Danio rerio: one gene and its partners. The protein of the gene in region 6 purifies or fractionates together with the protein of the main gene of each other region. This does not show direct contact. Links are inferred from orthologs where the notes say so. Each region holds a gene or a part of one and is shown on either strand. Other genes may lie near its edges. The genes, in order: si:dkey-100n23.3, pogzb, chaf1b, ahdc1, chd4b, cbx5 and daxx.

The links.
Region 1: the proteins of cbx5 (region 6) and si:dkey-100n23.3 purify together in Homo sapiens (affinity purification with mass spectrometry; 3 studies listed by BioGRID and IntAct, with this or other methods). This does not show direct contact. The link is inferred for Danio rerio from reciprocal best matches to the Homo sapiens genes CBX5 and SENP7.
Region 2: the proteins of cbx5 (region 6) and pogzb purify together in Homo sapiens (affinity purification with mass spectrometry; 5 studies listed by BioGRID and IntAct, with this or other methods). This does not show direct contact. The link is inferred for Danio rerio from reciprocal best matches to the Homo sapiens genes CBX5 and POGZ.
Region 3: the proteins of cbx5 (region 6) and chaf1b purify together in Homo sapiens (affinity purification with mass spectrometry; 8 studies listed by BioGRID and IntAct, with this or other methods). This does not show direct contact. The link is inferred for Danio rerio from reciprocal best matches to the Homo sapiens genes CBX5 and CHAF1B.
Region 4: the proteins of cbx5 (region 6) and ahdc1 purify together in Homo sapiens (affinity purification with mass spectrometry; 3 studies listed by BioGRID and IntAct, with this or other methods). This does not show direct contact. The link is inferred for Danio rerio from reciprocal best matches to the Homo sapiens genes CBX5 and AHDC1.
Region 5: the proteins of cbx5 (region 6) and chd4b purify together in Homo sapiens (affinity purification with mass spectrometry; 5 studies listed by BioGRID and IntAct, with this or other methods). This does not show direct contact. The link is inferred for Danio rerio from reciprocal best matches to the Homo sapiens genes CBX5 and CHD4.
Region 7: the proteins of cbx5 (region 6) and daxx purify together in Homo sapiens (affinity purification with mass spectrometry; 3 studies listed by BioGRID and IntAct, with this or other methods). This does not show direct contact. The link is inferred for Danio rerio from reciprocal best matches to the Homo sapiens genes CBX5 and DAXX.

What each region holds. Positions count from the first base shown.
Region 1 is NC_133184.1:31,919,801-31,924,554, forward strand, and holds the start of si:dkey-100n23.3 (sentrin-specific protease 7), read right to left. Parts: upstream 2,964-4,754; 5' UTR 2,838-2,963; intron 2,464-2,837; 5' UTR 2,371-2,463; intron 1,174-2,370; 5' UTR 1-1,173. Other genes in the region: si:dkey-100n23.5, read right to left, coding at 3,952-4,128, 4,262-4,403. UniProt on the Homo sapiens protein: Protease that acts as a positive regulator of the cGAS-STING pathway by catalyzing desumoylation of CGAS. Desumoylation of CGAS promotes DNA-binding activity of CGAS, subsequent oligomerization and activation.
Region 2 is NC_133191.1:42,527,159-42,531,300, reverse strand, and holds part of pogzb (uncharacterized protein LOC561483), read right to left. Parts: coding exon 4,033-4,142; intron 1,353-4,032; coding exon 1,173-1,352; intron 1,091-1,172; coding exon 987-1,090; intron 915-986; coding exon 631-914; intron 483-630; coding exon 328-482; intron 1-327. UniProt on the Homo sapiens protein: Plays a role in mitotic cell cycle progression and is involved in kinetochore assembly and mitotic sister chromatid cohesion.
Region 3 is NC_133184.1:32,226,091-32,230,232, forward strand, and holds part of chaf1b (chromatin assembly factor 1 subunit B), read right to left. Parts: intron 2,643-4,142; coding exon 2,539-2,642; intron 2,334-2,538; coding exon 2,237-2,333; intron 1,833-2,236; coding exon 1,748-1,832; coding exon of another isoform or gene 1,561-1,747; intron 678-1,560; coding exon of another isoform or gene 630-677; coding exon 536-629; intron 357-535; coding exon 287-356; intron 1-286. UniProt on the Homo sapiens protein: Acts as a component of the histone chaperone complex chromatin assembly factor 1 (CAF-1), which assembles histone octamers onto DNA during replication and repair.
Region 4 is NC_133194.1:46,323,830-46,327,971, reverse strand, and holds part of ahdc1 (transcription factor Gibbin), read right to left. Parts: intron 3,422-4,142; 5' UTR 3,198-3,421; coding exon 1-3,197. UniProt on the Homo sapiens protein: Transcription factor required for the proper patterning of the epidermis, which plays a key role in early epithelial morphogenesis. Directly binds promoter and enhancer regions and acts by maintaining local enhancer-promoter chromatin architecture.
Region 5 is NC_133191.1:34,973,593-34,977,734, forward strand, and holds part of chd4b (chromodomain-helicase-DNA-binding protein 4), read right to left. Parts: intron 3,838-4,142; coding exon 3,719-3,837; intron 3,596-3,718; coding exon 3,285-3,595; intron 3,178-3,284; coding exon 3,059-3,177; intron 2,403-3,058; coding exon 2,282-2,402; intron 2,176-2,281; coding exon 2,006-2,175; intron 1,853-2,005; coding exon 1,604-1,852; intron 320-1,603; coding exon 116-319; intron 1-115. UniProt on the Homo sapiens protein: ATP-dependent chromatin-remodeling factor that binds and distorts nucleosomal DNA. Acts as a component of the histone deacetylase NuRD complex which participates in the remodeling of chromatin.
Region 6 is NC_133198.1:39,408,311-39,413,194, reverse strand, and holds the start of cbx5 (chromobox protein homolog 5), read left to right. Parts: upstream 1-1,549; 5' UTR 1,550-1,622; exon of another isoform or gene 1,623-2,049; intron 2,050-2,642; 5' UTR 2,643-2,717; intron 2,718-4,280; 5' UTR 4,281-4,356; coding exon 4,357-4,496; intron 4,497-4,884. UniProt on the Homo sapiens protein: Component of heterochromatin that recognizes and binds histone H3 tails methylated at 'Lys-9' (H3K9me), leading to epigenetic repression. In contrast, it is excluded from chromatin when 'Tyr-41' of histone H3 is phosphorylated (H3Y41ph).
Region 7 is NC_133194.1:8,084,401-8,089,130, forward strand, and holds the start of daxx (death domain-associated protein 6), read right to left. Parts: upstream 3,259-4,730; 5' UTR 3,257-3,258; coding exon of another isoform or gene 3,209-3,256; 5' UTR 3,193-3,208; exon of another isoform or gene 3,076-3,192; coding exon of another isoform or gene 3,001-3,075; intron 997-3,000; coding exon of another isoform or gene 928-996; intron 1-927. UniProt on the Homo sapiens protein: Transcription corepressor known to repress transcriptional potential of several sumoylated transcription factors. Down-regulates basal and activated transcription.

The DNA of each region.
Region 1 (4,754 bases), on a different chromosome or scaffold from region 6:
CCCTCATCTTGACTGCTTTTCAGCTTGCGAGACACAGGAAGATATTTTATTGTTGACCGTTGTGATGATGTCATATGTATAAAACAAGTGTTTGTAACTGATCAGAGAAAAGGACTTTCTATAGCAGGGGTTCCAAACTTTTCAGCCCACGACCCCAATATAAAAACGGCACACATATACCAATATGCCCAAGTCTATTAATCATTTAATTTTGAAGAATGCCACTCAGAGACCATCCTCCATGTTCAGTTGTGGCCTCTATTTATTTTTATTGCATATGAGTGTCGTAAAGTCACCAGAAAGTTGGTGCCATCAAATCAATGTGCTGCATCTGACGCTATTGCTGTGTCTTTAATATAACCGCAGGGGTTGCAAAAAATAGTTGAAAGGCTGATTGCTTTTTATTTCCAAGATATTTTTTATGATTATTATAAGCATTTTATTATTATTAACTATTTTGTAAAAAGCCAAGCGACCCCCCCCCCCGGGTAGTCCCGACTCCCACTTTGGGAACCACTGTTCTATAGTAACCCTGTCAAAATATACTGGATTTTCTTTTGTAATGGTAACCTCATGTTGATGAGTTGTGTAATACAAAGACAAAGTAGATTAAAGTAGAACCAAAGTTTCACCTTTTTATTTTTGCCATAACAAACATGATCTTATAAATAATGTCAGATTTAACAATTGGTTTTTACTCATTGTACAATCAGTTAGTTGATGAGTATAAACACAAAAGCTGCAGATAAACATCAGATCTGAACCGCCCCTGAGGCAGAGGTTGATGACCAGACCTTCACAAACTACAGCTAATGGAAAAAAGATGAAAAAAGAATAAAGTAATAAGAGTCGGCACATAAAAAATAAAAGGTCACGCAGAGAAAATCTGGTCTGTTGTCATATAATTGTTACTGCAGAATCTCTGAGACAAAACAAACTTAGATGGTCTTGTTGGAGCACCAGCATCTAAAACACAATATATGCTATTGTCTAGTGATGCTGTTTATTTAGTGGGGAGGCCACTATTGTGCTCAGATTTGTTTCTGCGTGACCTTTAACTTCATGAACCACATTTCTGTACAGCTGTCTCTGTCGGAGCAGATGACCCAGCAGCACCTTCAGGCTCTGGAGCTTCCATTAATGCAGCAGCTGATGCATTGCGCTCCTTCTTACCTGGAAACACAAGTCAGGCTTTAGTTTAAAACATGCTATGTGTACATTGTGAAATGAACATTCATGAACTCTGGTGTACTTTGTCTCATTCAGATAGGAGTATTGAGTGACTAAACCCTGATACTTTCATTCTACTGCTTTTCATAATGCTGAAATATGGAAACATTATTAAGCATGACATTCTTTTTTTGCCCTCCAAGTATGTAAACACATCCATCCACCATCCTCCCTGGCATCATCAAAAGCTTCTATGTGCAAACAGATTTTTTTTCTTATGATTTATACTACAATTCAGGTGTTCACACTTGGCTGATTATTTATAATAAGCTTGTTTGGCATGCTGTCCCAGGAGAGAGCCCTGAGCTCAACGGATCCTCGAGCACAGGGCTCTCTCCCGTTCGCAGGGCGGGAGGGGAGTTTGAGCTCAGGTAGACCTCAAAAACTCCGCACTGCTGATGTGACTAAAGGTGAACTGCTTTAAGAAGGAAATTTACTGACGCTGGGACCTAGACTATGGTGCCCATTCGGTTTATTAAGTTAACGTATGACGCATTTTTGTAGACGGTGGGAGGAAACACAAGGGAAACCCATGTGGACACGGAAAGAACATGCAAACTCCGCACAGAAGCATCACCCAGCCCGACGAAGACCAGTGCCAGTGGTGTTCTAGCTGTGGGGCAATAGTGCTAACTACTGGGCCGCCTTGCCGCCAAATCTAAGTAAATGGGGAAGAAGTGGAGGAAGGGGAGTTTCTTGTAGTTAAAGATGGTTGTGGAATGAAGACTGTGGTTATTTATAGAGCCTTAGGGGTAATCTGATAGGAAGATCATGTATTAGCTATTGCGGGACCGGCTGTGGTCAATCATAAGCATGTGATCCTCCTAAAAAAAGTTTATATATAAACATCAATAAATTTACAATTTTAATGTATGTTTCTGTTCTTTTACTGTAAATTGATAGTTACTATTAAAAATTTATAACTACTAAATAATTAGATTTTACTTTGTATTTTTATAATGTAATATATTTAAAGTGTGATGACGTACTCCAAACTGACTTTGACAAGTATCTACTTATTTATAGTAAATATTTTGGGCAACAATCTGGTTCTACAGTATGCCCTTAAAACAGTGCAAAACGTACATAACAATAATGGTAATCCAATGTATGGTTTGTCTGAATGTGAACAAAACTCACCTTTAGCCAGACTACATGGTGTGAGCACAGGCTCTTCTTTCTGCTCCCCCTCTTTTAGGGCAGAGCTGATCTTGCGCACCACATAGATACTGGCTGTAGAAGAAACATTACAGTGCTATTAAGTAATGTTAAGTCAACACATTGATAAGCTATACAAAACACAAATAACACCTCATTGTATCGTCTCTGCAGCTGTATTTTACTTTATACGAAAGCTTTCATGATGGTTTCAGATCATGCTATACTTTCGAAATGTAAAAGTATCGAAGCGTAAGCTGGTAGAAATACACATAAATGATATAGCGCTGTACCTGTAATGCAACATTTACAACAAAAAAGAAATGTTTACCATACTAAAACTTAACATTTGTACAGTAACGTTATATGCTTCGTAAACAGGAAGTAAATCTTTTGAATCTTTTGTTGTTTTCCTGGTAAAGATTTACAACAAAACAAAGAAGACTTACCTTTTATCAAAAGTCATACCATGGTGAAGAGAAAGTACAATTTTTACTGTATCCGTTACTTTCTCAGCAGTTTTTCTTGAAACGCGTTCAGGGGTTGTTGCTGTTGCGGAAGCGCCCTGCCTCTTCAAGTATATGCGTGCCCAGCGGCTGTTATGAAAATCTGTTACGTATCGTCATTGTTGCGTTTCTCATCATTACAACGCACTTCTCACGGATTGGTTGATCGTCAGTTATGATGAGCTGTTGACCAATCGGCATTAAACGTGCCAGCTGACACGACGACATAACAAAGCTAATCAGGAAAGGACATCAACGTGATATACTTTACTTTTTGTACTAGTTTCACTCAGTTGAACACTTTATCAGTTGAATACTCTTTCGTAAATACATGGTTTGTATAAAATAAAACTAAAGAAGTATAAAACATTCTCTCCTGACAAATTATTCACACATCTGTCCACTCGGTGTCAGCATTGCATACAGCGGTTTCGTAATTCTAATTTACACAACACAGACAATGTAAGTTTATGTCACTGGTTTATTTCGAGAAGCTTTCACAACCCTTTTGTAAAGCAGTTCTTACTCAGGCTTTCTCGTAAATCATCCTGATTTAACATCTAAGAGGATTATATCTAATTTACTTAATGTTAATTAGCTGATTAACTGAAGTCAATACCTCATTCTATTATACAACATGACACAAACACAGTATAAATGTTAATAGATTTATATATAAACTTTGTTGCAAACAATACAAAAATATAGCATACATTTTCATAAATATGATAATAAAACATGCTCATTGTTCTCAAAGCATATCCTAAGTCTGAGATATTCAGCTGAATGAAATAGAAAAAGCAGTCTTTGATTCGATTTTATACACAACGGAACACGTTAAGGCAGTAAACAGCTTAAATTGCTTTGCCTCATTAATACAGTACAAATGCTATGATGCTACCCGTCATTAAAGGCAAAAAAAGTCTTTTTAATCAACAACTTTTTTCTGTTTTCCAACTATAGTAAAAAGTGTCAATACAAAAGCTTGATAAACAAACACTGAATGAAATTCTTCAAAGGTGGAGTGTGTGAAAATATGCACAAATAAGCCACTTCTCTAAACATTCTCCCATGATGCCCTGTCTTTTAAGGCCATATCCGGACTGTAGAAGAGGACATTGCCGTCTTCCTCGTCTGAATCGGAGTTCGCATCGAGCTCATGTGTGTATCTTACATTTACAGCATGGTACTCTTCAATCCTTGTGCTGTCACACAACCGAGACTGAATCGCCATCTGAGCAAATAAACATGTTACATGAACAACAGATTAAAATCAGGTAGTGCAGATGTTCTGATAGCCCAGTAACCATGATATGTAAGGTGAGCAATCACAGCCATTGGTTAAAAGTAGTAAAAGTGAGCCCTACCTTTATTCCTGTTACACTCATTTGACTCCAGGTGTCTTTACCGAAGACGAGAGCATTCGCAAGCCCATGCAACGGTGCACTAAGCACATGCAGTAACGTCAGAGAAAACACTGGATCCTTTGGGTAAGCAGCATTATGAAGTCTGCAGAAATATACATACAGATTAGGGTCGCACAATGTACAGAACAATATTTGTTATCATATTGCATCTGTTGCCTTGCTTCATTTATGTATGCCCCTCTTCTTAAAATATCCAACAAATCACTATTCATTACTACTGATTGGTCTAAGGATATCAGTGGAGATATAAAATTTTCTCTTCTGACTAAATCATCAAATGATACATTGGAAACTATTGTATAGACTCTAGTTATCCCTTTTAAAATGATTTTATAAGCCTTTATCATCTTCCCCAGATTGTAGTTTATGTTTACAGAGGGCAGTTGGCACTTATTTTCGTTATTATTGGTACTGTCCTGCACTTAATTCTTTT
Region 2 (4,142 bases), on a different chromosome or scaffold from region 6:
TAGCCTTTATCCACAACAGATTTGGTCAGCAAAATAGGTTAACGCTACTCTGATAGGGTTTACATTTGTCTTTGATAATGCTCTTTGTGTGTCTGTAATTAATATTCATCACACGAGCCATATATGGTCAAATCATGGATCTTTTGATTCTGTTGGTACTTTATGGAGTAATAAAAGTGCTTATAAAACTGTTTCTGGAGATTTTTTTTTAAATACCAAAGCCATAAACCTACTATGTATATATCAGAGAACAATTTAACTTATTAAACAAATGCTGTATGTGGCACCCTTAAACAAAAAGATTAATAAAATAGAAATAGTTCTTACTAGATGATTCAATGGAGGTATGGACACTCTCAAGGTGGCACTGCAGACGAAACGGTGTAGGAAAGCGACGGAAACAATGCTGACAGGATGTGTGGTTGTCCATTTCCCCATTTTGTTGATCCAGTTCAACATGGTACCTCATATGGTTCATAAGTCTTCAAAGAAAACAAGTGATCACTAATGGCACAGTTCCAACATATCAAAGACAGAATAAACAAAGACTAGGAAATTACTTAAAATAAAACCTATCATTTTCAACTAGATATTTACAATAAGACTTCTAAAATCAGTCCATAATCGTACCTAATATTATTCTTTAGTTTCTTGCTACAGGTCAGGCATCTGAATGATAATGGTTCTTTTGAGTTGTCCATTGGTACATAGACTCGATTTCCCTCAAATGTGCCGTAGTAGAAATCATCAACCAGCATGACGAGTCTGGGATGGCTATCTCCTGTTTTGCTAGGTGGGCTATCCACCTTGGCACTAGGCACAACAGAGGCACTCTTAGGTGGTGTTGCTGGGGGTTTCACAGCTGTTGGGGTACTGCTTGTTTCAGTCATGTGGACCAGATCAGGGCAGCAAAACTAAGAGAGAAAGGGATTCGTTTTTTAGGTGACCAAACACATTTACAGTCTCCTCACAAAGTATGTACTTACACACATATGACCGCGTAGAGCCTCAATCATTCTGAACTGAGCTCCACAACGAGGACACAAATGAGTGGTGGTTGTTGATGAGGTTGCATTTGGAAGTGGGATCGCTGCAAAAACATAATTTGGAATTTATCAGCATGGCTTTACTCTAATAGGAAATCAATGTAATAGTCAGAACAACAAACTTACTTTGGATGACATTTTGTGAGATGATAGGAACAGCAGAAGAAACAACAGGACCATTTTTGGTATTTTGATTGCTCATGACTACAAATGTCTGCGCCTGAGCCCCACCAGGAAGGTTCACAGACTTCACAAGATTCATTAGGTTTTGCATGTCTAGGGGTCCATTTCCTTGCTTTATTGTCACTGTAAATATAAATAAATTCAATTTTAAAACAGATAATTGTAATTCTGAATGCTGATTGACCAAGCAACTGTGAAAAATACACATAGTAGCAAACAATTATTAAATACTTGATTTCTTTATTTGTATCTTGTAGAAGAATGCCAGGCATTTACAAAACTTTATTTCAAATGATTTAATTTAATTTACCGGATATGTCTCTTATATCTGGTTCAGACTAGGGTTGTCGCAATACCATTAATTCATGTTACGATACTATACAAGCTGAAGTATCGTGATACCAAGTAGTATTGCGATACTGTAATTCATAACTCAAATTCATGACATAAAAACAATTTTCAGAAATACTATATTTTATGTTGTAATAGGCCTACTTGAATTGAATTATGATTCCTTTATTATTGGAAAAAAGTACTTGCATGTCACTTCAACTTAAATGTATTTGTTCTTTCTGTTTATTTTGTAGATAACTGACTAACAAAAAATACACTAAAATAAAATTAAAGTAAGTACATTAAAGTAAAGATACAAATTATACCAAATCAAATTTGCATTAATAATAAAATTAGCATTATTCCAACCAAACTAGGTTTTATGAAGTGGTCAAAATTTAGTAGTAGATCTAGTTTAGTCATTCAAATTTTTACTTTGCGAGTTGCTCTTTTTAGGATATTGTCGCAGTTGTTGTAGCTACAAAATCATATTGACAGGAACAGAAATGAACTGATTCAGATTTGATCTGAAAACATGTAATAGGCTACCATAAAATGCTTGAATTCTACACAGTTTGCAACCTTAAAGGGCTCCACAGACTATTCAAATAAAATGGTCTATTGTTTCACAAACTTGTAAGCATTTTAGTGACTTTTCCACATGCAACATTATGTATTGCTGATGGACCGTTAATGACGATACTACCGTTTACAAACTACAGTGGCACTGCCAGTATTTTGGAGCCGTAATATCACGATACTACCATAGCACCGGTAAACCGTGCAACCCTAGTTCAGACTACACAATAAATGTCCTTTACCATGTTTTTAGCACAATCAATCTGATGATGGTGATTCATAAATGACATCGGGTGCCAAAACAGCGCATCATATAGGTTGTTTTCAATCACGTGGTTCTGGTGACGCGCAAAATTCAGATGAAGGGCAGGAAGTAAAAAACTGAATGGGAGACAGGTAGGAAAGTCCATAGTTTTGCGAGTTTTAAAAGAGACATAAATAGAAAATAATCACATTTGTTGGGCATGATCTTAATATCATGAAGAAGGCTGAGTTATCTACTGAACTAAAATATATTTGCCTGTCATTGAGGTAGTTACTTTACATGAAAAATACTTTAGTAAATACAAAAGTGTTAGGAAGCATCCTATAGATAATTACTAGACTTGAACTGTCGTAGTGATTATATTGTTGCTGTGGTACAACACAACTGTAGTAATAAACTAATTATTCAACAGGCTTCATTTTTCTTCACTATAATAAACCATCAGCATGCACTACAGTTTACACTAATGTTATTTATTACAGTTTATTAGTTTACTACACTACAGTATTCTGTAACATTCAATTGCAGAGTTGTACACATTATACACTTCACAAAGTGGCTCAAAAACATGTTTATTATAAATTACTATAACGTTTTTCCCGATGCGGATATCTTCCAGACATCATTAAATAAAGGGTGAAAGCATACAATAGCGTGGATGCATAGTCTGCATTATTATTTATTTACTTTTGTAAGAGGGAATGAACTTCACAGCTGCTGCGCATCTCGATGTTGACATTACACTTGTATATTCCACCAAAACGCCAGTAAAGACAATTCAAATCAAGACAGAGATTTTATTGCAGCGATTACAAGGCAGGGTACGTTGTTTATATTCTCCTGGATTTTGTCAAATATATTTATACATATAGTTGGGCCTGTATATAATCTTCATTGGTGCTGTCAAACGAATTATCGCATTCAAAAAAAAGTTTGTACACACAGATGTATTAAAAACATGCCGCCTTTTTCAGCCAGTTTCTTGAACTTTGCCCCCTTTATGAGTAAAAACTTTTAGAAGTCTATAAAAGCTGCTCTGCATTTTTTTATTTTGCTGATTTAAACCTTTATAAACAACATAAAACAGAAATATTGTGATGTTTTGATAGCGATTCCTATGTAGAAGAACCACTTCCTGCCCTCAATCTGAATTTCGCCGAATTTCATCATGTGCAACCTTTTGGACAACATCTGAGATGCTTTACAACATAGTGACAAAAAGACTGATAAGTTTTTTTTTAAGATCCTTCATAACCGTTTCTGTCACATCTGTGATGCTGACCAATAGAAACAAAGAAGCTCTTTCACACACAGCTTCCATAAACATGACAAAATGAAAGAGACAATTCGATTTCAATTGAGTTTGATTAAATTCTTTGAAAAGTTTTTTTCTGACAAGAATAATAAACTAGTTAAACTGACTAGTTAAAATAGTTAACATGTTGTTTTATTAGCCTTCTCTGGCTCTTGTTTTTTGAAGCCAGTCACTAGTTCTGTCTTCTGAATGAAAATAAAAATAAATAACTAATTAATAACAGGAATTATTACATAGATAGAAAACAATATAGTTTGAATCAGGCATTAAAAATCTAACTTTAAAAAGTTCAATTAAATTCTTATTCTTACCTATTTTAGTAGTGGTCCTGGTAGGCTGAGTAATGGTTGTAGAAGATACGATGGGTAGAGAACTGGCAGCTGTTGGGGTGACCGCGTTTGTGGTTCGAAAAGTGAGAGTA
Region 3 (4,142 bases), on a different chromosome or scaffold from region 6:
ATGTCAAAGTAGTTCTAAGGCTTTAAATAAGATTGGTAAAATCAAATTTTGATAGCACTTGAAATTTTATAATTAATCAAAAGAAAATTTGGGTCAAGGAAAAAAAAATTGAATTAAAAAACAATTGATTAAAAAAAAAAAACATCATGTTAGCACAACCATGATAAAGGCAATAAAAAAATCTATACGTTGATGCATTAGTTTATAGTGTCAAAGATTAAATATTATCCATCCTATAGATTATTACACGGATTTACCACAGTACAAACAGATTTAGAGCACAAACCTCTTAAAGCTTTTTCTAGAGAACACATATGTTGTGTTTGTGACATTCTCTCCAGCCTCAACACACCCAGCTACAAAATAAGAAAAATCAAAAGATATGACTAAACTACGCAAGGCATGAACAAGAAAGTAAGCCCTTTGGTAAAATACACTGCACAATGTATTAAATAAGTCAACATAAAATGCATGCACGTAAACATTTACTGTATACAGACATGTAAAAGTGTATTTAAAAAGTGTAAAGGTGTACCTGGCGCCAGGAGGAATGAGCCATCTGGTGTGAAAGTGAGACGTCTGAAAAACGATCTCATGCTGTCATCATGAAACATTCTGTAGTTCTTCACCTGAACAAAAGCAAATAAATCTAAATATAAAAAAATATTGTGTATATACTTTTAAAATAAATTATATTCAATATATAAAACATTCTACAAATGCCAGCTTAAAACAATAAATGCAAAACAACAACAAGCAAACAAAAACAAAAAGACACACACATCACCTAAATTGGTCTCACAGTTCAGTTTCTTTATGATTATCGTGTCATTGATTCGGTTCAATTTGTTATCTTGGTGCATTGACGATGCTTTCTATCCACAATAATACATTTTTTTCTTCACAACACAAGAATTCAAAAATTTGTAAATATATTTATTATATTTAAGCAGTCAGATATATTAACTGTACCTTTAATTTTACCTGCCCAAAGAAAACACTCTTTTTGAATGGTTTAAACAAAACTTAAACACAGGTACAATGACAGAAGACAACAGAAGATAACTAGACAGTAAAGTTCGTCGAGACAAACTTTGAGGCTGGCTTGACAAAGCCTGTTGGTAATAGTTTATTTAGTTTAAAAACAGTTTGAAAAAGTATAAGTAGCATGTTATTAGCATGATTCTAGCATGAATTAGCATGATTCTAGCATGGATTAGCATGTTATTAGCATGAGTGTAGTAAAAAGTTGCATGTTATTATCATGATTCTAGCAAGAATTAGCATGTTACTAGCATGATTCTAGAATAAATTAGCATGTCACTAGCATGATTCTAGTATGAATTAGCATGCTACTAGCATTATTCTAGTATAAATTAGCATGTTACTAGCATGTCTCTAGTATGAATTAGCATGTTACTAACATGATTCTAGCATGAATTAGCATGTTACTAGTATGATTCTAGCATGAATTAGCATGTTACTAGCATGATTCTAGCATGCATTAGCATGTTACTAGAATGATTCTAGTATGAATTAAAAAAAAAAAAAAAAAAACACTATTCCAGGCATCCACTGGAAAACTGTCTGTATAAAAACCCTACGTAATAGTAGTAGTGCATTCCAACAGAACATGCTTTCTAGACAGGAGTCTGACAAAACAGTTTCTGATTGGTTTTGGGAGAAGCTGAAATAAGGTGGAAGTTTTATTAAGAATAAAGAGCAACTGAGGATCACAGAAACACACCTCTCCATCTGCAGTAGCGGATGATGTCATCTTACTGATGCTGTAAGCTTTTTTTCTGTTGTGAGCACTGTACACACGCATCACCCTAAAACACAGATTTACATGTGGTCAATACGCAAAACAGCAAACCGGTGAAAGTGTTAAAGATTATATGACTATAATGAGCCTTATCTAATGAATATGACGAGTTTAGATGCAAAAACATCCAAGTGCCAGGTGATTTTTTTTTCTAACCAAGTAGCTTTCCCAGGCTCCTGTGTGCAGGTTCAGTAATTTCATTTTTTATAGAAAAGAATACTTTTTTTTGCTTGTGAAATTACTAAGTAAATGCTAATGAGAAAATGCTAATGTTGAAATATTTCAGATGACACTTTTCACATCTAAACTCGTTATGTCTTTAAAACACTATGTCTACAATGATATCAATATTAATCAATATATTTAAAAATAAATAAAAAATTTATTAAATAAATAAATAAACATGCTAACCTGTCACAGCTTAATGTGCTGATGTACTGTCCAAGTGGGTCCCACGCTACTCCTTGCACATAACTCTTATGATCATTAAAGATGCACATCTTCTGACCTGTAAACAAATTAGGGATTGTATTCAATTACCATAAAACAGCATAAGGTTTAGCTTGAAAACAAAACAAAAACAACAACATTAACACAATACAAAATTTCAAAAGTGTCTTATCCTCATTTAGGAAACACTCCTATTAAAGCAAGAAAAAAAAGAAAAGAAAAAAAAAAAGCACAGGTTCTTTAATCTGCTTTTGGCTTCATACCCTTGTTGACGTCCCACATGATGGCAGTGTTGTCCACAGAGCCTGAAGCCATGAAATTCCCATCACTTGTCCATGAGATATCATATACATCCTCAATATGTCCCCTAACAAACACATACAATTGTGAGCCTTCACATAAGTTTCACAAAAAGAAAATAACTTGCAATAAACCTAAAAAGTTGATTCTGTAACGTGACATGCATCTAAAAAATCCTGAAAAGATTAACATACAAACAAAACAATAAGTAGTACAGGCAAAGCATGACACTTTCATCAGATATCATGCATCTGAACGTGCTCATTTGCAATTCACTTTCCATTTCAGCCACATATACATACAAATCACCCCCCCCATTTATTTGATTTATTTTTATACAGAGACTTTGTACAGCATGACATGTTGTGCCAGAGTTAGCTATAAAACTTTACATCTGTAGTCCTTGGATAAATACAGTTGAAGTCAGAATTATCGGCCCCCTTTGATTTATTTTAAAATATTTCCCAAATGATGTTTAACAAAGCATTAAAAATTTTCATAGTATGTCTGATAATATTGTTTCTACTTGCGAAAGTCGTATTTGTTTTATTTCGGCTAGAATAAAAGCTGTTTTTAACTTTTTAAAATCCATTTTAAGGTCAAAATTATTAGCCCCTTTAATCTATATATTTTTCTGGATAATCTACAGAATAAACCCTTGTTATACAATGACTTGCCTAATTACCCTAACCTGCCTAGTTAACCTTATTAACCTATTTAAGCCTTTAAATGTCACTTTAAGCTGTATAGAAGTGTCTTGAAGAATATCTAGTCAAATACTACTTACTGTCATCATGGCAAAAATAAAATAAATTAGTTATTAGAGATGAGTTTTTAAACCATTATGTTTAGAAATGTGTTGAACAAATCTTCTCTCTGTTAAACATAAATTAAGGGAAACAATAAAAAAGGGGGGGAGGGGGGTTAATAATTCTGACTTCAACTGTAAAAAATGTTTTTCAAAGTTGTCCTAGGACAAAAATGGGTGTTGTCCTACAGTTTTAGGACAACTTCGATAAAAGGTGATTATTCGCTTCAAATGGTGAATACAGTAAATATATATTTGTGTGTGGTGTGGAATGTTACATTATAGGTCATTTTTTTTCTAGCCTGAAGTCAATTGTTACATTTTCAGATTCACAAATGCTGCAACTTGCTCCATTTTATGAATGTTCGCTGTAATTTTCATCCATGCATTTAGGGTAGGACTCTCTTCTGATGATTTTTTTTTTCTTTTTAACAGACACCAACAGTATATTTGTACACTTTTCCCTCTTTTAACCTTTCTTGGGGTATATAAAAAATACTACAAAATGGTATGGCAGATTTAAAGATAATTTGTAAACCATTGTATATATTTTTCCAATAGACCTTAATAACAGAGCATTCCCAGAAAATGTGATTTTAGTGTTTCTATCTTGTTTTCTCCAGCATACAAACAAATTACCAGACATATCAGCTCTTTGGTTTTTGTTTTTAATCTTAGTCATCCAACCTTGGCTGACTGAACAAAGAAAATTGCCTGTAGAAGATTTCCACACTAAAGAAAACAGAGCCTCAAAGTAAA
Region 4 (4,142 bases), on a different chromosome or scaffold from region 6:
TTTGCCCCTCCCTGGAAAAGTACATTCTGACTCCAGTTGTAAGAAGGGCCTGCAGAATTCTCATTCCAGTCCAGCATTAGCTTCTCCAGGCTTGAAAGACTAGACTGACCCTCAGGCATTGGAACATCCCTTGGGCGAAATGCTGCCCCCACAACGCTCGCTCCTCCTCCTCCTCCTCCAGTGTGCGAGGAGTCTGAGGAGGATTCAGAGAGTGTGTCAATGCAGGGTCTCTGTTTGGCTTTTTGGGGTGTGTAGTTTGAGATGTCCAGAATGTCTTTGGATTCTGATCCAGTTCCAGCTACTCCATATTCAGAGTAACCATGGAACTGATGACTACCATATGCATCACCACCCCAGTTGTTTCCTCCTTGCCTGTATCCCCACTGAGCTGTGTATTGTCTGCAACCCTCAGGCGGAGAAGAGGATAAGGAATAAGGGCTAGACTTTGACATTGACATATAACTTCCACCTGGCGATGTTGGGCCAGATTCTCCTCGCTGTGTGGTTGAATGGGGTGGGCCTGGATAGCTGCTATAATTGCGCTTGGCAGAGCCCTGGTAGTTGGAATAGCTCATCTGACACTGTGCAGAGGGAACAGAGGGAGTTTTTGTGCCATATGTAAAGCTACAGTCACTTGGCCTTTGCTGTTGTTGCTGCTGTTGAGGGAGGGGATAAATGCTTCCACCTTGAGGAACCCCTGCACTATAATTTGGCGGATATTGAGGAAAACCTCCTGATGGATGTGGAGAGCTGGGTGAACGGGAAAGCAAGAGTGCAGGGGATTTAGGGAAAGATGGGGTGGGAGAAGTCTGTGAGACACTATACGAATATGAGGATTTAGTTGTCGAGCTGCCTTGAGTTTGGGGTGAAGATAATTGTGCCCCATCCCCAAGACAAGCTGCTCCTTTAGGACTTCTTTTCGGAAAGGCAGGAGACCAACGATGAGCAGCACCCGGGCTGCCACCCTCATATCCTGGTGTAAGCTTACGACTTTCCTGTCGTCCAGCAGGGCTGGACATAGAGATGTCTAGTAGATCAGAGGAGTCATCAGAGTCAAGTAGAGAGCGAAAATATCCTGCAAACAGACCCTGAGACTCTTCTCCACTGCCCACTCCTCTCATACCTGGGCTGTGGTACATGCCACCCTTAGTACCGTCGCTGCTTTGAAAGCTTCCACGAGGGGAACATGGACTCTGATAACTACCTGCTTTCTCAGGAATATCTCCTTTCCCTATCCAGCTACTGTTCTCATTTTGCCAGTCTTGCTCCTGGACACCAGGACCATTTTTTAAAGCCCCATTCTTCCGTGGCCGGCGTTTTCTAACTTTCTCACCTTGTGCAGAGTCAGCTAAAGCTGCTCTATTTATTCCCCCAGCAGCCCCCTTGCCTCTTTTTCGAGGGGTTCCTGGTTCAGATGCAGGGACTTTCCTCTTTTTGCCAATTGTTTCAAAAAAGTCACTGAATGACCTTTTAAAGGAACTGGATGCTCCCGCTGCTCCCCCTCCTCTACTCCCCATGCAGCCCGCTCGGCCGCCTCTCCTGCGGAAGCCTGTGAGGCGGTGCAAAAGAGTAGAAAGGGATGGATTTTCTGGTGGTATGTTAAAAGTCTCAGGCTCAGTTGGGGTCCAGCAGCGTGGAGGGGAGCAACGGCCTGTGCTGGGTGGTTGTCTGTTCAAAAAGGCCAGTTTGGAGAGGACATCTGCATATTCTACTTTAACATCATTGGTGTCATTAACATACGAGGGCTGCGGAGATGGCAGCTTCACAGTTCGCCGCCTCCTGATTTTTTTAGGCTCTGCGGCATTGGCCGCTCCGACTCTAGTTTCATGCATGTCAGGTTGTCCAGGTAAAGCCTGTTTAGGAGGACGTCCCCTGCGTCGCTTCAAGATCACAGGAAGCTCTCCTGGCGGAAACATTACCATCACACTCTTTCCATTGTTTTTCATGCGAAGAAGTGCTGTGGGCTCTCGGGGCACGTTAGATACTGGCTCACTCCCTACACCCCCCTCAGGCCCTTCTCCAGTTGTGACCCCTTCTCCACGGGGTGGAGCACTCACAGGCTCCAGGGATGAGATCTTGTAGCTTTTTTGACGTCGGCTCATGTGAACAGGTATTCTGGCTACTTTTACCACAATCCTTTTCACACCTATATAACGTCCCTGCCGCTTCCCTCTAACTGATTGAGTAACACTGCCCTCTGCCTCTGATGTTATCATGCTGTGATTTGGTGTAATGTCTACCGATGTATCTGTTGGTGGTAAAACCTCAAAAGAGGATTCAGCAGCACACACCTCTGGCAGATGTTCCACTATTTGACTGATATCCTCTGTTCTCCACACTATATTCTCCTCTTCTTCTTCGTCCTTTTGGTCCAGTTCCCGTTTGAACATGTGATCTTCTGGAGCTCTGCGTAAGCGGGATGATTTTCGAAGATGGCAGGGAAAACGTGGTCGACCAGAGCTGCGCAGTGTATACTTCCTTTCAGCCTCCACAGAGGTCATGGCAGCGGCTTGGCCTTTTATATGCTCGAGGCCAGTGCTGTCGTCCATTTCTGGCTTACACGAATTGTGTTCCTCCTTGGGTAAGGAGGAAGGGTTGTACTGTGGAGGTGTCAAAGTGTTTGTGTCCAGGGTGGTGTGTAACAAAGGGGCAGGCTGAACCTGTACACTATGCACTTCAGTCTTAGAAGGTAAAGATAAATCTTCTGGGATAAGGGAGGGATCCAGCTCCATAAGTGAGGCGCTAGTAGGTGTGCACATGCCTTTTTGCGAGTGCTTATGTGTTAGCGTGTTCGTGTCCACCCACAAATGTGCATCCACCGGAATGTGTGTATGAGGCTGCAGGTGTGTGCTTGGTTGTGTGAGTGAGTGCATCTGTGGTTGTGTGTTTTGCTGAATGCGCGTTTGTTCTTGTGTGTGTATTTGCTCCACGTATTCTGTCGGTCTGCGTCTCCTTGCTCTACGTCGGAGCTGCTCCTCATGGTTCCGCAGGCCATTAGCTAAAGAGGGAGGTGAATAAAAGTTGTAATGTAGTGCGCTGGCTGGATTAGCATCGCTGGGTCCCATGGATGTGGCCTCGGGCTCTGCATCCCCCTCCCATAGAGAGGGTCCCTCATCATCATTGCAGTCCTTTTCTGGCAGTGCCTCACAAGTCAAGCGAACACCTCCAGAGCGCAGACGACCTGACAGACGGCTCATTACACCCAAAATCGCAGATCAGGATTTCCGTATTTATATGTGTGATATTCTGTATTTCCGTATCAGCGATGGTTCCGGGCTGAGTTTAACTGTAAGCTAGGTCCAGTTCAGCATGTAAGTTTGTAATCTCTCTCCTCTCACTATGATATTCTTGAGCAGAATTAATCTGAGCATCAGGCTTGGGTCCTCAGTTTTCAGGGGTGCAGACAATAGGCAGTTCTTTCCTATGGAAAAAGGAGACAAAAGGACATGTTCATGAATTGCTAAGCAATGTTGGTTAAGTTACTTCAAAAATATAACTTCTCTAATTAATTTGTCTAAATAGTAATCAATTTAGTTGATCAAAAAGTAATTACTAAATAGTAAAAATGAACTTAAATCTCATTGCATAGACCAGGGATGCCCAAACTAGGGCCAGTTGACAAAAGCTATCCCATGGTAACCTTTAATTTGGCCCACCATGCCATCTGAAAAGAGAGGAAGAATGATGGGGATGGTTTAGAGATTGTGATTTCAAATCTAAACCTTTTGTTTGTTTGTTTTATTGTCAAAAGCTTGCTGAAATGATTCAATAAAACAATGTCAATTAATCAGATGTAGTTTAAATATACATACTGTCACCCGACAGATAGAGGACAAATCAAGGCAAAGGCAGGTTCTGCTTGACTTGTGTATTTAGCTTTACACTCCACTGTTATAAATGTGGTTGTTTATGCTTTTATTGCAATAAGATATCATTTTAAATGTTATACTGCATTAGTTAATATGATTTAAAATACTGTTTTCTAATAAATTAGGAAATTACCCTTGGCAACTTTAATGTAATATAGTTTGGTATATTTATCTTCAGCCCACAGCTCCTAATGATATTTGGTTTTAGGCCCTTTATACGAAACAGTTTGGGCACCCTTGGCATAGACAATAGAAATTAAAGTCAAACTAAAA
Region 5 (4,142 bases), on a different chromosome or scaffold from region 6:
AATGTTTCACTTCACATTCAATTAAACAAAATTATATAGAATCAATGCCCCTCCTTGCATAATCTTGCATCCCTACTTACAAGAAAACATGTGCATTATAAATAATGTGTATTACCTGTAATTCTTGGACCCAAGAACAGTGCCAATATGACTTGTTGCACCACTTTACAAAGAACTCTCTCTCCTTCCGACCAATCATAGGGGGAGGATCTGGAGCCTCAGCTGGAAGGTCTGCAGGGCGGGGCACGGGCATGGGTGGAGGTGCTTCACCCCAGCGCCAGGTCAGAACTTTCTGGACTTTGCCCTTCAGTGGAGGACTCTGAGAAATCATATAGAAGCATTATATTCTGAATGCTCTGCAGAACTGAACTATACAATGCATGTTCATTTAGATAAATTATGTTCAATAAAATGTATACATTTTCAAACATGCTGCAATTTAATATTTCCAGGCAGCTGATATAATGCAATTAATAATACGCAAACAAAACATGCACAAAGACATACATACACTTTATTGATGGAGAATGAGAGCAGTGTTTCTGCAAGTTTTACCAAGTTAAATTTAAGAATTTTTAAGACCATTATGAAGGAAATTTTACACATATACAGGGCTAAACACTAAGGATGGAATGGTTGAGTTCAAAAAAAAAAAAAAAAAAAAAAAAAAAAAAAAAAAAAAAAAAAGATTTTAACTTACCTCATGAAAACTATTTAAATATTTAGTTGTTTCTTAACAACATTTTGTAAATAGGACTAGTTAAATGATCTAATTTAAATATGTACTTGTTAAAATAAAAACAACTTTAATAAACTAAATTTAGGTTATGCACAACAATGTCTAAAATACATGGCGAACTTTTACACAAATGTTTTTGCAAGGGAGACAATTTCACAATACTGGTAAATATTTAATATATTTAGCTTTTGTTCAAAATTTTATTGAGATGGATTATTGGCGATTGGTCCGCCCGATTGGGTAACTTCACATAAACAGGGCAAAATGAAGATGTCTTTACAATGCTTAAAAACCTACAACATACAATTTGTCAATTTAAAAACTTAAGGTCTAAAATTTTGAAAATTAAGACCCTGCAGACACCCTGTACTTCTTTTTTCACTCAGAGAGTTTCAGTTTTACTTTAAAAAAATTACTCATGCTTTATTTATAAATGCTTTTGCATTTGTAGCAAATGTTGTTTATAATGAATCCCACTAACATATCTATTTAATATTTTATATTCCAGTTAAATGTTTCAATATTGTAACATTTTAAATATCTGTTGTGGTAAGAAAAAGTTTGGCAATATTTGTTTAACTTTATTGCTTAGTTATTATTAAATTATTATTAGAAAATGTGACTCAAACACTTGAATGCAACTTATGAACAACTTGAAGTTTTCCCCACAACCCAGCTTTAACATTTAAAGTCAGATATGACCAGACACAATTTTAGACAATTTTAGATATGATCAGACATTTTTTCCAGAAAAATACTGTAGTTTAATTCTTTAAAGTTAATTTGGAATTTGCAATTATTAAGGGTAAATTCTAAACATACCGGCACCTCTAAAAAAAAATCTAAATTCAAAAACTCTCTCACCAGGCAGCGTGGGCAAATCCACTCTCCATTGGGGATGTCTGGCAGGGGCGGATTGAGACAGTGCAAGTGGTAGGACGAGGGACATGTGTCACAGCAAAGCAGCTCTCCTCCATCCTTGCACACACGGCAAAACTCCATATGGTGATCGTCCTCCTCCTCCACATCTCCATCATCCCTCCTTCCATCATCGTTCTCCTCCTCGCCCTCAGAACTCTCCTCGCGGGCCTCCCATTGAATGCCCTCCTTCTCCTGAGAGAGAGACATAAATAATGCATCATCAACAGAAACTTTAGTCATTAAATAACAATGGAATGTAGAAATATAGTGCGCATGCAAAGAATACAGATTTTACTCGATGACCCTAAAGCAGCTGAAGGAAAAGACATATTTGCATGAACATACGCAGTGGGGGCAGCTCCAGGTACCCTCTGGTGCCCTCTCCATGTCAGGATCCAGACAGACCATGTGATAGGCTCTGGGACAGGTGTCACACAGAATGATCTCACCGCCCTGCTGGCAAACCTCACAGTAATCCTGATGATCTGTTTCATAGCCGTCAGCATCCTCATCCACTGTGAGAGAGAAAGACGAATTATATCAATCAATATATACGGCTGTAAAGTTATCAATCTAGTATAGTAGTTTATTATAGTGTGTGAAATCTGTGTTTTGACTTACTTTTCTTCTTCTTTTTGGAGCTCTTGGCCTTCTTATTCTTGGAGCGGCTGCTTCGACTGTTGGATCCATCGCTTACAGAAAAACTGTCAAAATCGCTCTCGCCATCATCCTCCTCACCGCTCTAAATGAAGAAACCATGGGTAAGTGGTACAAAAAATGTTAGCCATAGAGAGAAGAAACAAATGCATGATTTAATACATGTTAACTGCCCTTCAGCAGAATTTACCATTAATAACTATGCAAAATGTATAACAATATCTATCAAATGTTATTTGAAATACGTTCCCTTGATGAACTTGCTTATAATAAATGTTGAAATTCTTTTATACATTTGATCCATTAATGAATCACTGCAAAAGTATTAATTGATAAAACTGTGTCAAAGTTGCCAATGTCATGCTTGGTTTAGAAGCTGCGCATCAATGGATTTGCTCTTCCGTGTTTGGACTTTCAGCAGTGACATTTAAAGCACACAGAACTGAACATCAACTTTAAAAACTGGACTGACAGTTTCAAGTTACTAGAACTTCTATGTTAAGCTGCTTTGACACAATCTACATTGTAAAATTGCTATAGAAATGAACATGAATTGAATTAAAAATATACCAATATAACATACTAAATAGTTTATACAATAATATTTTATTATATAAATAATAATTATATAACATTTATATCATATAATACTTTTTTTAAACTTTGATGATACTGTTTAACTCAGCAATAGTGCTAATTATGTTGCAGTAACAAAAGAATATACAGAGAAAATATACATACAGATGAACGCTTTCTCTTAAAATTGCCCAGTTTAATCTTGAGGGGTGCCACTTTCTTTGCTTTAGACTTTTTGTCCTGGGGCTTTGGGGTAGGCTTGGTCTTTCTACGTGCATTTGGGCCTGGAGCAAACACAAAGTAAAAAATAACATAATCACACTTTTGGCCTCAAAAATTATTCTGTGCTCTGTTCATCATTTATCCACATTCTCTGCTCTTCTCCTCTGACCTTTGCCCTCTTTGGTCTTGGCTTTCCGCAGTGGGACTGCTGGGGGCTGCTGGGGTGGGGGTGGGGCAGCGACAGGAGCTGCTGTTGTCGTGGGCGGGGCTGTGGCTAATGCCGGTCCTCCTCCTCCTCCTGCATCCACCTTGGTCACCATACTTTCCACTGCAGCAGCTACATTGGCAGCTGCCAGGGCTGCATTGGCACTCGCTGAGCCTCGCATTGGATTATTAGTGCTGAACTCCCGCCACTTAGCTCCCAAAACCATCATCATCTTTGACACAGCGATCTTAGGGTTCTTAGCAGCAATTAGAGGCCTAAACATGAGTGGAAAAAATAAGACATCTTAGATCAGTCACTACATAGCATATAGGATGGATGAGGCGATAATTGAAATGGGACAAAATAAAACATGAGATGTGGAAGAGGCACTGCTCTACCTGACAAACTGACTGAAAGCTTTGTAATTGGTGAGAGAGTTGTAGTCCTCCTGGGTAAAGGTGTAGTCGATGTCTTTCATTCCCCAGTCTGCTAATAGCTGAGAGGAAGATTTGGGCTCCTGTGAAAAAAAGGACAGAGGATGACAGCTAAACGCAACTATCCGAAGGTGAACAAATATAAATATCAATCATTTGACCAAAAACTTTAATGCAGAATGACATTAACTGACTAGTATACACTGCTACTCAATTGGGGTCAGTACAATTTTTAATATTCAGTACAGTGCTTAATGGCAAAGACTATAGATTACACAAGACATGTCACTCGTATCATTTTGAATGTGGAAAAGTGTAAAACCAATACTGTGAATAAAGTTGGCCTTTTAGCACAAGAGCCAATCATCGATGGCTATATGGTGAATAA
Region 6 (4,884 bases):
ACATCTAAATTCAAGCCTTAATTTCCTTAAATTTTATTACAAAGTTAACCTCACCTCTCTAGACACGGCTCGTTTGGGCTCTACAAGTCTACCATCGACCTTGTGAGGACGTGCATCCATAGAGGCATTGACTTCATCCACACTGGAGTAAGTAACAAACCCAAAGCCCCTGGAGCGCTTTGTGTTTGGATCTTTCATCACCTAAATGAAAACAGAAACATTGATTAAAACACCTAACGTTGTGGCATAAAATAAATCTGAAATTTATGTTGCAATGCATTAATAAATTTCAAATAGCCTTAAAATATTAAAAGGAACTTACCACACAATCTGTTAAGGTGCCCCATTGTTCAAAGTGTGCCCTTAAACTATCATCTGTGGTTTCAAAGCTGAGCCCTCCAATGAAGAGCTTCCGCAGCTGCTCTGGCTCACGTGGCTGGCCCTGGAAATAACAACCGATTTCGGTTTAGAATCACAGCAGCAATGTGCATAGTGTTTATTATCGGTAACGGAGATCAAACCAAGGATTTACTGGAACAAAAAGCGTCGTGAATCCATACGGTAACGCACTCTATTTGGGGGGAGGTGAACGAAACATCCGCCATGTTAGTGCAGGACTATACGTCCAATTTTAAACCGCGCACTCCCTCCAACAAAACACATGAGGTTGTAAATGCGTGCAAACATGGCTCGAAACAACGACTGAATAGTTATAAAACAAATAAATACCGATTTTGCAAAACACGACCTTCGATGAAGCCATGCGGCCTAAATTATGTGTGCACATTACAGGAGTTAAAATGGCGGCTCGAACACGCTTACATTAACAAAGAACCACAAATGCGGTGCACGCTGAATTATATAACATCAAGGGCGCTACGACTACATGCTTGGCGCATTATATATATATATTCATTCGAAAGCGCTATATTAATAATAACGCCAACTTACCTCTTTGGACATCCTACCGACTATTTCTGTCCGTGCTACGCCACACGCTTGTCGGTGAGACACGCACTGAGAAGAAGGGAGATACCATAAATAGCTTGGATGAATTCAGTCCCCTCCCACCGGGAACGATGATTGGTTCAGGCTTCCCGCTAATGCTTTTGTTTGGCGCTTTAAAGACATCTGATTGGATGACACTCAAGTCAATCCATAGAAGAGGCTAGTGCTTAAAAAATTCTAAAATATTTTATTCAGAAAGCTGAAGAATCTTTTTTATGAAACACAAAAAGTAGTCTTTATTGTATGGTGGGTTAAAAGATTCAGACTATAAGTTCCTTCATATTACTTCATATTACATACACCACTTTCGCATGTACACTCGTGCCTATTATTCATTTTTTAAATAGTATTATTGCTTAACAATAATAAATAAATCTGAAATGTTCTTCGAAGTGTGTGGATTTGGTTTCAGTGTGACGCGTGCGCATCCCATTGTATGCGCCGAGGCCGTTTTTGGCGCGAGAGCTGCTCGCTGAGGAGCACGCTGATTGGCTGAACGCGCCGCTGGACGGATGCATGCGCGAGAGGCAGCAAACTCTGTGTGCAAGGAAAAAGCCGCCGCCGCCTCAGCCTCATTATCCAGCACGAATAGAGAAACGTCGAAAAATATCTCAGTAAGTATGACATAATCAGTCACATTAATGTACAAATGTGTCATTGTGGATTCGCTTTGCATTGGGAGCGAGCAGCGCTGTCAATGCCACGTTTAAAACGTGATAGGATCAGGTGAAATCTGTTCTGCTCGGCCCGCGCTGTTGCTAAGCAAAGGCTCGGTGCGTTAGCGAGCACGACGATAGCACTCAAATAAATGCGAAAACTCGTGTAAACGACTCGTTTGCAGCTGTTAAACGGTGAAAATCGTGGAAAGAAGTAGCGCGTGTGTGCTAATGACGCTAAATTAGCCTGCTATCTTGTGCCTAAACATCGGGGATTCTTGTTTATTGTTTTTTTCGCAGGCGATGGTGACCTGCTAAGCTTGCTTATAGTTCGTCATATATCAAAAACAGCATTGTGAAATACATGTACTTATTTCTCAAACACGTAAGTTTTATATATAGTTTTCTAGCAGAATGAGCTTTTAGCGACGCAAACAGTAGCAATCAATGATCCTTCTCTTGCTAAATGTTAGCATTGCAGCTAGCACTGCACATAAATACGTTCACGATTTGTTTGTATGTTGTGTATATTGAAATATAATTATTGGAAATTAGATTGCATATGGTAGGACAAGCTGTGCAGGTCTGCTAGGTGTTTTCACACAGTTTGGCCTTGCATGCTTGCTAAAATTTTTGATGACATTAAGATAAGAACACATGGCCGATTTATCGCATTCCTGGAGCTAGAGTTGTTAAATGTGTCTTGTAGGCAAATGCTGACATTAGTGCAATGCGTTTATGTTAGATTTAACAATGAAAAAAGTGTCCCACTTTTACTAGTTGTTTCGTAAACAATCTGTTGTTGTTATTATTGTAGAGTGTACGTTTAAAATAATTTAAATCGAAGTCTAATAGGTCTTTAGTGCGTGTATATTTCCAAAGAAATATGTAGGATACGTTTATTAGAGTTGAGTTTAAGATCAGAGTTTTATATCAATACAATTTTTTTTTGTGTTTAAATCAACTTTATTTGTTTAGGGGAGCTCTGAATGCTGTAATCCAGGTCTCATCTCTGCTCTTTAGGAGGTCACGCCCAACAATAGAAGACTGTAGGTGAGTGCAGGAAAAGCAAATGTTGACTTTTGTCATTGCTGTTAGAGTAATAAGTTTTCCTCTAACCAGTAAGATTTTGACCCTACTGCTTACTGTTTGTTGTGATCACGTTATGCATAATTAATGTAGTCGTTTTTGCTGGAAGTAGAGTTTACATGATATAGACAGCATTCAATACTGTCTTGTAGAATGTAGCTTATACTAGGCATGGGGCGATAAGCGTTTTCAAGGTATACCACAATTTGGAAAAGTCGAGGTTTTAAAACCACCAAAATATAATGCTATATCGTTCCTATGGTATATGTAAGTTTTTTTTAATCTAATTTTTAACGACAACATTATCTTCAGCAGAAAATATATCCTTAAATGCCGTTTTAAATTATAGAGAAATCTAAATGAAGACAGCAGAAGTCAATGATTTGTTTTAATTCTTTAGCCTAACATGATTACTTTCCCAAAAAATGTTATGCATCTCAAAATAAAATATTTTGTATTCAAAGGGAAAAAGTGTTTGTTTTTTTTAAACCAGACAATTAAAAAGAATATATTGTAGAGCAGTGATCACAATACTGTGATATTTTTATCCAAGACGTTCAGTTTTACAAAAGAAACTAGTGCTAAGTAAGCATTGTTTTGTGTTCTTGGACACTGAGTAATTAATAAAAAAAAATGGTTAGTATAATTGAGGTGACAAATATATAAGTAAAGCTAAGAAAACAAGATACAGTAGAAATAAAGCTTTTATTTGCTTTTAAAAATCAGTTGTGAAGTTAATAAATTTACAATTTGTCTTGAAACTTGATGTTAATTTTGTGCAGATTTAAAATATAAATAATATATGGTTAGTCTTTTTGTCCAAATCTCTATTTCTTGTTACTGTTTTTTTTTTTATATAAAATAACATTATAATTAGATGTGTAGATATTTGGCAAAACCTATAGTCCATAGATCATCAGGTGTTTGTTTCGCATGTTGTTCAATGCATTTACTTCAGTTCATATCAGGAACAGTGTTTTAATTAATATGGTCAAATACAGATTTTCATTAGTCTTATTTGCAAAATTTATTTTTTATATAACTTTTTTCATTGTATAGTAAATATTGTGGCTGGGCGATTTATGGGCCTAAAATCTAAATCTCAATTAATTGAACATTTTAACTCTATTACAATTAATTAATTAATGAATGATTATTTTCCCTCGTAGTTCTCTGACAAGTTTTATATGCTGTCTCAAGGCATCTCTGGCGCAGTTTCCAATCATTGTCAGTGTAGTGCAAAGTAAGGCTTAAGAATGAGTCCATCGTCTTACTTGACCAAGGATCAGTTGTGGCTCAAAGTTGCCGCAAAAGTAGAAATCGGCCACAGCCTTTAACAGAGCGGGGTTACGTGACTTGTAGGGAAAGTAATTGAAAAAAAATTGTCCTGGGAAAATTAGATTGATTATAGTTTTATTTTGATTACTTTTCAATTAATTGCCCAGCCCTAGTAAATAACATAATAATAAAAATAATTTGATTGTCATCAATACAAATATGTAGTTATGTAATTATTTTTTATTTCAGTTCAACCACTTTCCTCCCCAGACCAGGGAGCCACACAGGTCAAATTTGCTTGTAGTAAAGACTTTCAGAATCAGCCATGGGAAAGAAGAGCCAGAACCGTGAAGATGATGAAGCTGCTTCCTCAGATGAGGAAGAGTACGTTGTGGAGAAGGTCTTGGACAGGAGAGTTGTGAAGGGGCGTGTGGAGTATTTCCTCAAATGGAAAGGCTTTACAGAGTAAGTGCTCATTGCATTTTGCATAATCCAGTACTGTCTGAGCGATAGTTTTCATGTCTCAGGACCCCTGGTATGTGTTTCAGCATGTCTTAAAATGCATGAAAAGAGACTCAGTTCAGATACAATGAAAATGCTCTTAATTTAAATACTAATGATCTGGCTTACTTACTGGGGTTTGCTTGCAGTTAGACGGGGCATCATGGAAAAAATAAAATGCATTTTCTTTTAGTTTTTTCCAAATATTTTTGACCAGTTGTAATATTCAGATTTAAAAATGTACCTGTTCAAAGAAAAAGTGGTGTAACTGTAAAACTTGTTAAATATCTTAGCAGAAAAAACTAATGCTTATTTGAATGCAAAAGCTACTCTACAAAAAATAAAGTGAAGA
Region 7 (4,730 bases), on a different chromosome or scaffold from region 6:
TAACACTATATAGTGTTCAATGTATAAAAAAATAAATAAACAAATAAATGAATCGTTGTGAAAGCTTCAAACTTAATAACGTCTTAGTTTAAATTTCCTTGAAATCCTAGTCACAGGTCTTAAAAAAAAAAAACACATCCAAAAACAATCTTTCACAGTTAGGGTTTAGTTTTATTCACAATTAATTATACTCCACAATTAAAATCTCAACTCAACATTGGAGATCCTGCGATGTGACTATTGCAGATTCATACATTGCAATACTGATGCTGAAACAATATATTCTTCAGCCCTAATCATAACTATATATAAAAATAAAAATAATTACACAACATTTTATTCATGTTTTAATCTTAAAATGATTTTTAAAAATGAAGAATATTTCAGATTACCTAAATATGAAATTGTATAATATAATTGTATTAATATATATTTGTAACAGCAAAAAGCTTGTCCTGTTCATCGAAATGTATCTTTTTAATTACTAAAATGTAATTCAACCATTAAAACTGAAAACGTTTTTAAATTAAAATGGGAAAAAAGACATTTTGAGTTATAAAATAGGGGATTTCTGGGCAATGTTTTTTTTCCTTTAAAAAAAAATATTCAGTTTTGATGGCCAAATAAGCTTTCAGTAATCAAAAGTTTGTAACAGTTTCACTTTACTCCAATGAAAAAGGAATGTAAAGGTTAAAATGAAAAGGAGTTATATGGCCTTAATATGAACAACATTTAAATGTCAAATCAATTTTTAAGTGAAACTGAAACTAGCAGGATGTAAGAAATGTACAAGGGACAAGGTGATATTTTTGGGTGTATTTTACAGAACAGCATATCCAAGAGCATGGTTTATCTATCATGACATCAACACAATAGGTATGCGTTTTAAATATTTAATATTTATGTATTCTGCTTGTCTGTACATACTTGAGCACTGAGCATTGAATTGATCAAGACAGTCAAAATCCAAACTGGTGTTTCAAAATCAGCATTTACCTGGAAAACAATAATATCAACAATGTCATTTTTGGGACAAACGCTTAAACGCATAACCCTTTAACTCCCCAACCAAGAATAGTTTTGGAATTCCATTTCTTAACTCCCAATGTCGATAGTTAACACGTTTAATGAATTTTTGTCAACACATCCCATAATTTCTAAAATATCAACCTCTACCAAATGGTTAATATGTTGGTTTATTTACAGTAAACGTACCTGGAATAAATACATATACTGTAATATGAAAAATCTGAAAACATGAACTGTATAAGACCAATGTATTAAAAAATAAATAAAAAATTCAAAATAAAACATTTTTGAACACTAAATCATCTTTACTTTTTGAAGTATGTCATAAATTACCTCAGATTCTACTTTAATACGATTTCTGGTTGAGTTTGCTTTACAATAAAACCAAAATCAAATGTAGACGTGCAACAGGATTATATTTGCTTAATTTTTTTTTGTAAACCAACAATGCCGTGTGTGTAACCATTATTTAAATTGAGGTAAAGCTGGTGATATATTTGCACATTCATTCATTTAACGATCTCTAAATTGTTTACCACACTACTTTTAATATTAGGTCTGAAATTGCATTTACGTATGACTTCAAAACAACATAAGCACCATTTTATTGACTGTGAACAATGTTCTACATTGATAGTCATCGGCTGCTAATATAATTTCTCCATTTAGAATTTGCAAATACTTTTATGAGATTATATTAAGGAGAAAGTCCAAATGTGGAAATAGAAAAACTTCATCTACAGCTGAGGTCAGAATAATTAGCCCCCCTTTGATATATATATATATATATATATATATATATATATATATATATATATATATATATATATATTTTTTTTTTTTTTTTTTTTTTAATATATTTCCCAAATTATGTTTAACAGAGCAAGGAAATTTTCACAGTATGCCAGATAATACTTTTTCTTCAGGAGAAAGTCTTATTTGTTTTATTTCGGCTAGCATAAAAGCAGTTATCTAGTCAAATAATATTTACTGTCATCATGGCAAAGATAAAATAAATCAGTTATTAGAAATGTGTTATTAAAACTATTATGATTAGAAATGTGTTGAAAAAACCTGCTCTCTGTTAAACAGAAATTGGAGGAAAAAAATAAACAGAGGACTAATAATTTAGGGGGGCTAATAATTCTGACTTAAACTGTATATAATTTCTGTCAAATTTGTAATTAACATTAATTACTGTAAAATGAACAAGCTCTAATTCCATAGATGAAGTGAACAATATCACATTAAGTGTTTTCTCCCCATTGAAATCCAAGTAAGGAATAAGATAAGCTTAACACGGCTTAATGTTCCTTAACAATAAGCAGTTAGGCTTTTTTTCTCATAACAGACTTAAATAGGGGAGAAAACACTTAATGTGAAATTATTCACTCTGTTCACTTTATCTATGGAATAGAGTTTATTTGACGTAAATTATGACAGATATGTGGGTTTCTCTGGTTGTTGTTGTTGTTCTGATATACTAAGCCACGTTTAAAATGTCCCTATTTTTCTGAATTGAAGAGAAAACATTACATAGTTAAACGAAATACTATAATTAAATATCTAACCAGAATTTTAAAGACAGGAATCTTAAAATCGTAGCCAAATGCTACTTCATATTGCTAGCTTTCGATCATGTGATAATGTGACACAACTATGATGATTCACACACAACAAACTCGGTTAACTAGTACTTATGATTCGTCACCATCTTGATAAAAAGAATTATCAGACATTAAACAAAACCACACAAGACGTATAACATGTATCTATATCCAATAATATGCCTCCACATCCGTCTCCTATAACACAATAACAATACGAGTGAATTTGAGCGGTAACTATGTTTATGATGTCTTTTGACTGACTTAATACCATATCAACCAGATTTAACTGGATGTGTCAATGAGATTTTCACACTGTTTACACTTAACATAAATATAAATGTAATAATTTCAGTTATTTTGCCTTTTGGTTTGAAGACTGTAGCTCTTTAATTCGGACATGCCATACAGACTCCTTCCGTTTATTTGTTAAAAGCATTAAAACGACGATAGCTAAGGTGTAATTTCATATTTGTCAGTTTCCTCACAACCTTCGCAAACGCTTCGTGATTATGTTTAAAATAAAGTCTTATTCGAAGTCGATCAATAATAGACAAAAAACACGAACTTACGCGCTCGGATCCTGAAACTCGGCGCTGGATCTTTGTACAGCTCAACATGCGGCGCGCTGGTTCGCTGACGGTCAGTATACTGATCGCTGATTGGGTGAATGCTTTGCTTTTCTTCTGCGATCTGTTTGCTACGCTAATCATTTAGATGCGTATCAGCGCCTCGTAGGGAACTGGAGACTCTAGAATAAACTGATTGTACAGTTCTTCAGATAACAATAACATGATGTGGTAATGAAGCAAATTTAATTTCTTAGCGCTAGCAGGTGCTCATCTAGTGTTTTGCTTCTCCAGAAACAAAACTGATACTTATCAGGGAGCCACTAGTAGTGTGAGGGTTGAATTCTACAATTATTATGTGCTGGCTACCTGAGAGTAAAAGAAAATAAAGAAAACAGGCAATAAAAATCTCTATTATTTTTCCAAACACCAGACCAGAGGCCTACATTTTGAAGAAAATTAAATAAAATAACAAATTAAATAAATAAGCTGAATTATTAATTGTTAACTGTATTAACCCTTTGATGCACAAGCTATAAAATAGATATAGAAAAAATAAGCAGAGACAGGTCACTTTAGACCCATTTAGTGCATCAAAGGGTTAATAATGAGTTGATTATTAATTAGAAATAATTAATCAATTTATAGAGCAATGTTTTTCAAAGATTTATTTTATATAAAGTAGGCCTTAATAGCATATCATAAAAAGCACAATCAACAGATTAACCTTTTAAAAATGTATTTAAAATACATTTCAAAATTAAATAAAAATACAAAATCCCAAGGGTGACACAGTGACCACAGAGTGGTGGAAAGAGTACTGAAAAATCATAAGTAAAAGTACCATTACTTGCCTAAAAATGTAGAGCAAGTAGAGTAAAAGTATAGCTGTTGTAAATATTACTTAAAGTATGAGTAAAAAGTACCTCCTATATGCAATTTGACAATAAAAGACAAGACAAAGAAAAAATAAAGTAGTAACTGCAGGTTGAAGGAAAGTGGTGGCGTAAACGTACAGATAAAGCACTAAACATGTACTCAAGGGAAAGTGAAAGTACACATTTATAAAACTACTTAGTAAATTACAATTCCTGAGAAAAAATACTCAAATACAATAATTTGAGTATTTGTAGTTAGTTACTTTACACCACTAGTGCTTAGCACTGTCGCCTCACAGCAAGAAGGTTGAGTGCCAGCTGGGTCAGTTGACATTTCCAAAGATAACATGCTCCAGTTTCTCACATAGTCCAAAGACATTCGCTATAGGTGAATTGAATAAACTAAATTGGCTGTAGTGTATGTGTGTGAATAAGTGTATGGGTGGTTCCCAGTACTGGGTTGCATCTAGAAGGGCATCCCCTGTGTAAAACATATGCTAGATAAGTTCCTGGTTCATTCCACTGTGGCGACCCCTGATGAATAAAAGGACTAAACCGAAGGAAAATGGATGAATAAATGTTTTGGAGGCATGTTTTGGAGTTCAAAGTCTAATGTAAGAAATGTTTTATTACTAAGTGCATGCATG